Linked DNA regions of Coturnix japonica. The protein of the gene in region 1 interacts with the protein of each later gene in a pairwise test. Links are inferred from orthologs where the notes say so. Each region holds a gene or a part of one and is shown in the gene's direction. Other genes may lie near its edges. The genes, in order: MAB21L3 and AGGF1.

Region 1 (3,822 bases):
CAGTAGATATCATGGAAACTTGCTTTCAGTAGTGGTGCTGATCCCTCTGTGAGCAATTCCAAAGTGCCTGTGTATATCCTATAGCAATTTGTACTGGAAGTGCTGACATAATGCAATCAGTGGTGCGTGCAACATACCTTCATAGCTGCGACATCTGCAGCAAAATGCTGCCTAAACAGTGATCCTCATATTTAATTCTGAGCGTCCTAAAGGCATGTTATAGACTTCAGCTAATGAACACATGGCTTCATCCAAGCTGAACGGTTTGTGTTCATCTTTTCACATTAAGATACTGTGACATGGTCAAGATCAGACTATGGTGCCTTTTCTCACATCGTGTTTCCAGAATGTCTTTACCCATCAGCAGCCTGATATGGGTCTTCTGTATTCTTGAAACATAAACATATTTCACCTCCTCTGATGGCACTCAGTGGATATTTCTTCTGTGAAAACAGAAGTTGTTACCATCCTAAATGTTCATCACTGCTCCTTCAAGTCTGCTGCATGGACTCCTTTTGGAACTGGAATTCCTAGCCAGTGTCAGTCGAATTGAGGTGGATTAACACACAATTACTTAAACTGCTTATGGTAATCTGCTTTGTATTTACTTCAGTGGGTTAAAGCATGATCACATCATTGGCTCAGACAGCAAAGCTGAAGGAACAGTGATCCATCCTGAATGACAGGGACAGAAGCTTCTTCCATGCACACAGTTGGACCAGCATTGCCCATATTTACTTTCTCCTCTGTCCTCCTACCTCTGGGCAGATTGAAATAAGCTTTTTCTTGTGTTCCACTATGTCACTGAAGAGAAGACAGCAATGGAACTGCAAGTCTCAATTTGGACATGGGCACTACGCAGCCCCTTGCTTGGCTTGAGGAGAGGACCTATTCACCTTTATCACCTTTCACGTTGTTCCTTGACAGACAAAGTGACGGTGCTGGAGAGCTTCAGCTCAGTTGTGCGAGTGGCTGTGGAAACATCAAAATTCCAGGTTGAGGTGGAGCTGGCCCCTACGGTGGAGATTCCAACTTGCTGGCCTGAGAAAGCTCGGTGGCCTCGTTGCCTCAAGCGTTGGCCATCCCAGGAAAAAGTGCAGTGCGTCAAGGTGAGCAGTCTAAAGACAACTGTAAGGTCTGTGCAGAAATTTCCTTTGCAGGTATGTGATGGTGGTTTGGAAGGCTGTAGAGAAGAAATATTTCAAATTATTTGGATTTTATTGAGAATTTCTTTCCTTAATGATGGTGAATTCTCTGGAGGGAAAACTGATTTAACTGTCTGTTACATGAGTTTCTTGCAAATAGCTCTGGCCATTTAACTGAGTGCATTTTTTCTTGCTGTTCTGCTTTGTCTCATGTGATCTTTCTGCAAGTGGAGCACTATCTCAACATTTTCCTTCTGCCCTTCTCCTGTTCCTCCCCTTGGCTAGATTCTGGCACTCCAGATCAGCTCTACTTGCCATGATCTCACACATCGAGTTCTGACTTCCAGTCTGGCTCCCTACTTGCTCATGACCTGCTGCTCCATGGCAAAGTGCCTGTAGAGCTGTGCCTCAGCTTTAGCAGCACTGTTTGTACTGCACCTGGCACCTCTAGAGCTGAATCTCCTGGGAGTAACCAATGTCACCACATGAGGAAACAAAACAAATTGCTTGTTTCATCAATCAGGAGTTACAATGGGAGCATTAACCATGTTTGCTGCCTCTGCTAGCATGCAACATCCCTCTGCATTACTCAGAGAAATCTGCCTCTCCGATCTAGCGTCACACTTTCCATTTTGTCCACAGTCACTTGGTTTTGACCTCTTGGCCCGCTCCAATTATCACTGGCAGCTGTGCTTCTCCCGTGCTGAGCATATGCTCATGGAAGGCCTCGACGAAGATGGTGGTTGCCGCATGAAATGCTTCAGAGTCATGAGACAGATGAAGGAGGATGTCTGGTGTGCTGGAAATAAGCCTGTCATCACAGCTTATCACCTTCAGGTAGGCATCACTATGATATCAAGATACAGTCTCAGTATCTGTTATAGGGGAATGATGTTCATAATTAGGAAGTCTGAAAGACCTGACTGGAATAGCAGCACTATTTTCCTTACCTCTGGAAACTTCATTGTAACAACTGCCTGTAGAGAGAACACTAAGAAACTGAGTGGGATTCTTGCACCCAAGATTAGTGAATTTTTTGTTTTAGAAATGATTTTCAGGTTGATTAAGATGGTCAATATTGCTTTTTTTAGTACAATAACTGTAAGTACCTCCAAAAAAATTCTTCACAAACATAGCAACATCTGTAAAAATGCAGTATGGGCAGGATAAAAATAATACCATGGGAGCAGTAATCATATGGAATTCATTTTTTTTATCTATTGATTTTTCTTTTTATGCAGGTAGATAGTGATAGGACAAAGGGGAATGGATTTAAACTGATAGAGAGGAGGTTTAGGTTAGACGTTAGCAAGAAGTTCTTCACTTAGAGGGTGGTGAAGCACTGGAACGGGCTGCCCAGAGAAGCTGTGAATGCCCCACCCTGGAGGCATTCAAGGATAGGCTTTATGGGTTCCTGGTCGGTCTTTATTTAGTGACTGGCAACACTGCCTACAGTAGGGGGTTGGAACTAGATGGTCTTTGAGGTCCCTTACAACCCAAGCCATTCTATGATTCTATCATATTACATGAAATAAACTGCAAGAAAGAGATCATAACACATGCTGTATTGTGTGTCGGAAGAAAACAGGCAAGAGTTGCTTGGAATCCCAGTACATTCAGAAAGCAAATCTGTGTGCATCTTCAGCACAAGTATGGCTGAAGCTAACAGCTATGCTCATACGATTATTATTCTCTCCCTCCTTGCACCTACTGGCTTCTACACTTGTACAATAGACCATTTTCTACAGCTTAAAACACCTGGCATTTCTGTGGAGGTCCCTGGCCTTTGCAAATCCTCCTTCCCTGCCTGCTCTGGCCATCTGTGCAGGATCCTTGGTGTGTCCAGTGAGGTTTGCAAGGCAAAGGGAAGGGGGCAGCCAGGGGAAGGTGAAAGGGCTCTCCCTTAGGTTGTTGGTTGTGATCCCTTTGTTGCAGAATCGTTAATGCAGGAAGACTGCAGTGCCAGGCATTCCAGTTTCCAAGGCTGTCAGCCACTTACCAGCACTTAAACTGCCTTAGCAAGCCGTGTGAGCCCTCGGCAGAACCTCTAACACCTCTTCTCTCCCATCTGCTTCTTGCAGACAGTGCTATTCTGGACGTGTGAAAAATACCCACGCACCAAGGATTGGCGCTGCTTTCACGAAGCCTTCCTGAGGCTGGTGCAGAAGCTGCACAAGTGTGTGAGCCAGCACTTCCTCAAGCATTACTTTGTCAAGAACACCAATCTGCTCAAATATGCCAACACCAGTGACCTGGACACGGTGGCCAGCAAGCTTGCTGTCTTCTTAGAGAACCCGGCCTTCTGCTTGGATTAAGGCTGAAGAAAGCTTCCTCACCTCAAATTTGAGCAGTTTCCCCACCTCTTCTCCTCATTGATGGTGTTCTTGTCCTTCCAGGAGGTGTTGCAGCTGGCTTTCTGAGGCAGTTGGCACTGATGGAATGAACAAAATGTCAAGATTGCAGCTGTGGGTGGAGAAAACTGATGGAAGGCATTGCTTGATGCCCAGCCTATCTAATTTGCTTTCAACAGCAACAGCTTGCCTAGAAGCTACAGCCTGTGAAACTCAACCCTGTGTCAGTCAGAGCAGCAACTGCCTTATTCTCTGTCTCCAATCTCGTGGCACATAAGCAGAAAGACGGTGCAAAGAAGTCTCACTCTGCTACCTACCTGCTGTGC
Region 2 (3,822 bases), on another chromosome or scaffold:
TTAGATATTGACTATATTGTAAAATATTGGTGTCAGCTAGTTGGAGCTAGGTATAGAAAAATCCGATCTTTATAGTTGAGCTATAAACAGGTTGTGTTTTGTTTTTAAGATAGCTGTATGAATGTATAAGTGATGTACAGAGCGTTTGAAAATACCAGTTTTTTTGAAGTTACATTGTTATAGAATTAAGAAGGATTAAAAATAAATTATTTGCTCAAGTTTGCTAACTACTGCAACACAGACTGTAAATACAGTAAATATAGCTCTCTTAATTCAGTGTAAGTTTAAGACCTATAATCTTAACAAAAAAGTCGATAAAACACCTGCAAATGCATGGATCTTAAATAAGCTTTGCTATGTCTGTTCTAGGTGATAGTTCTAACTAATAAGCAGCGTAACATTTTATACTGAAAATTTTTTAGAGATAATCTTTTCCTGCTATTGATGACATTTTCTGGCTTGTATATGAAACTGGGTTATAAAACAGCCAAAGAGTTTTTATATTTTCCCTTCTGCTTCTTAGCATAGCTAATAATAGCATAGCTAATAATGTTTCAATATTTATATATATATATTTATACTTATATATTTGTATATTTATATATTTTAGGCTCGCAAATACATTCTGAAATCTTACTTTAAAACAGTATTTAAGTTGTCAAGTATTTGCTTAATGAGAACATTTCACTTTTCTATTTATCAGTTCCATGCAGAAATATATTTTGACCATGATTTGCAAAATTATGTTCTTGTGGATCAAGGCAGTCAGAATGGAACAGTTGTTAATGGAAATCAGATTTTACAGGTGAGTATTTGCTGCTACGGTGCTGTGTACATTGCAGAAAACTAATTGTGTGGTTATTTTAAATGTGTCATGGCAAATTGCTAACAATATTGTTGTTCTTCAATCTCCTTCAGGTCCTAGGGCCATTCTTTATGTTTTACATTGGCTTTATATTAGGAATTAGAAAAAAATCTACTGTTGTTGGAGTTGCTAGAGTGAAGAACCCACTGTATTTTAAACGTTTACCTGCATTTGTTACTTCAGACTTTATCAGTAAATTATGAGCAGTATTCATGTAATAGCATTGGTGCCCTGCATTAGTAACTAATAACTATGGCTGCCAAAACTTTCTTTTGCTGTAGCCTAAAACGAAATGTGATCCATACATCTTGGAGCACGGTGATGAAGTGAAGATTGGTGAAACTGTGCTTTCTTTTCATATACATCCTGGCAGTGACACTTGTGATGGATGTGAACCGGGTCAAGTCAGAGCACATCTTCGCCTGGATAAGAAAAAAGAATCTTCTGGTTAGTTACCTTATCTTTGAATATGGTGGGGGTTTTTTAGTATTATCATTGATTTTTATCTTATAAATAATATGTGTATATATATCAGAGTTCTGTTACGATTTTCTTCTCAACTGAGAATAGCTCTGAAATAGACAATAATATGTTTTCTTTTTGGCATGTGTCTGTGTAATAATCTTAGAATAAAATTTTGTCTTATGGTGGAAAAGAGTTACACTATTAATTAGAAATTGAATCCTGTGTTCTTCCTTTTAGTTTGCCCAGCACTTAGCAAAGAAGAGAGAGAGTTGGTCAGAAGAAAAGCATTAAAACAAATACGGGTCAAATATGGTTTACAGGTGAGTTTACAGAAAATTAAGTGTTTGAGATCTACTCCTACCCTGTGATTCCTGTTTAAGCAGTAAATTTCAGTGAATAAAGAAAGCTTTCGGAGTCATGAGTCTCGTGGTTTAACTCAAGCATGTCATTTGTACACTAAATCATTATTTACAGATTTCTGAAGACAGAGCAGGGAGGTCATCAGAAATAAAGAATCTAAATATTGTTTGTCTTTATTTTGTTTTAAAGAATACAGAGTATGAGGACAACAAAGCAGTGAATAATCCAAAGTACAAAGACAGGGCAGGAAAACGCAGAGAGACCATTGGAAGTGAAGGAACTTTCCAGAGGGGAGATACTCCAGCTTCTGTACATATGTAAGTTTGTGGATGTTGAAAATAAATAAATCTTCAGAGTCCTCTAATGAATAGTACAGAACTACAGTAAATATCAATTACTTATTAAGATACAGTTCGTTATCTTACCTGTATACAGTGTATTAGGAGAACTAGAAAACAGCTATTCTCACTTCCCAGTTCATATTAACTTCTTGCTTTTCCTTACGGAATTCAGCTTGGCTGTTATGATGGCTAAATCACTGTCCTATCTCAAAAGATATGGAACTCAGCAATTGCACTACTGACATCTCTGACACTTTGAATAGCCTCAGTTTTTTGTCTCATCCCAGTAATGGCACATAGGCAAGATTGCCTATGCATAATTTCTTTTTACTGCTCACTCATCCAGCATTTCTTAGTGTATGTATATTTTTACCTCTTCAGTCACACTTATTTTAATCTTCCTTCTTAATTATTTCTTCTCTAGTTGCTATCTTGTTTTAAAGAAACATGATCTTGTAGGTGCTGGTAAGTTAGTAAAAGGAAATGTGAGACAATGAAATGTGTGTTGAGTGATTTCGTGGGAAGCAGTGGTCCTGCCTTCTCATTAGTGCAGTTGATTCCCACCCTCCTGTGCTGTATCTTTTAGGTCCCAAAGTCAGCAAATAGAATGTGGAATTAAGAAGGCTGGTATTGACCAGAGTCTTGGAATAGCTTTGGTATATTTATGAGAAGAATAGCATAGAATCATGGAGGTTGGAGAAGACCTTCAAGATGAACAAGTCTAACCTTCAGCCAGACCTACCAGGTTCCCTGACTAAACCATGTCTGTTAGTGCCATGTCTGCATCTCTTAAATGCCTCCAAGAATGAGAACTCTACCTCTCAGCTGGGCAGCCCGTTACAGTGCTTAACCACCATCTCCATGAAGAAATTCTAAACCTACAGTACTTGTGACTGTTTCCTTGCATCCTGTCACTTGTCACCTGAGAAAAAAGAGCAAAATCTCTGCAGTCTTTCACATATTTGTGGAGAGCAGTTGAGGTCTCCTTCTGGCATCCAGACCGAACAACCCCAGTTTCCTCCCATTCTCCTCATAAATTTTGTTTTCAAGTCCTTCACCATTCCATTGCTCTTCACACTTTTGAGCAACTGGATGTCCTTGTAGAGAGGGATCCAAAATTGAACAAAGCATTCAGGAACTTGCAAAGAAGGCAGCAGGTCCTTCTGGGTAGCTCTTGATGGAAGAGTGGTTGGGTCCTGGTTTCTAGAGTTGCATATCCTTCAGTATTTCAGTACAGAGCATATATTTTGACTCTTGCTTATCAGTCTTAAACTTTCTTTACAGTGAAATCAGCGATAGCAACAAAGGACACAAAATGTTGGAGAAAATGGGATGGAAAAAAGGGGAAGGTCTGGGCAAGGATGGCAGCGGTATGAAGGATCCAGTAAGTGTTTCTGGTTTTTGCTTAGAGTACAAAGAAATAGAAATGCATTTGCAGTACAAAATGTCTAATTATAAGCAATGATTCACTTTAAATGTTTCAGAAGTCTTAGTGGGAGGGGAGTAATCTCAGTAGGACTAACCTCAGATCAGTTTTATCGGTGAAGTAGTCTGAAGTTTTTAAATGGTTTAATCACAGTAGAAACTGACAGTAATATTCACGGTTGTTAGGAAACAATGGAGGATGAGAGATACTGGATTAATAATCTCCAATTTGAGTACAAAGTCTGGAGGAAAATTGAGTCTATGTAAGTGATGTGAGTACAAGAGAAGGAAGCCAATGAGAGGAAAAACTGGCCAAAGCCACAGATACCTAGATTACAGATTATGATTTAACACTTTAACAGTACT

Evidence for each region.
Region 2: the proteins of MAB21L3 (region 1) and AGGF1 interact in binary tests that used the Homo sapiens proteins (3 or more experiments, as listed by UniProt). The two-hybrid records come from large-scale screens. The link is inferred for Coturnix japonica from reciprocal best matches to the Homo sapiens genes MAB21L3 and AGGF1.

Annotation. Positions count from the first base shown.
Region 1 is NC_029516.1:71,932,250-71,936,071, reverse strand, and holds part of MAB21L3 (protein mab-21-like 3), read left to right. Parts: intron 1-927; coding exon 928-1,109; intron 1,110-1,787; coding exon 1,788-1,982; intron 1,983-3,226; coding exon 3,227-3,460; 3' UTR 3,461-3,822.
Region 2 is NC_029547.1:11,956,051-11,959,872, forward strand, and holds part of AGGF1 (angiogenic factor with G patch and FHA domains 1), read left to right. Parts: intron 1-703; coding exon 704-805; intron 806-1,146; coding exon 1,147-1,312; intron 1,313-1,567; coding exon 1,568-1,650; intron 1,651-1,879; coding exon 1,880-2,007; intron 2,008-3,315; coding exon 3,316-3,415; intron 3,416-3,822. UniProt on the Homo sapiens protein: Promotes angiogenesis and the proliferation of endothelial cells. Able to bind to endothelial cells and promote cell proliferation, suggesting that it may act in an autocrine fashion.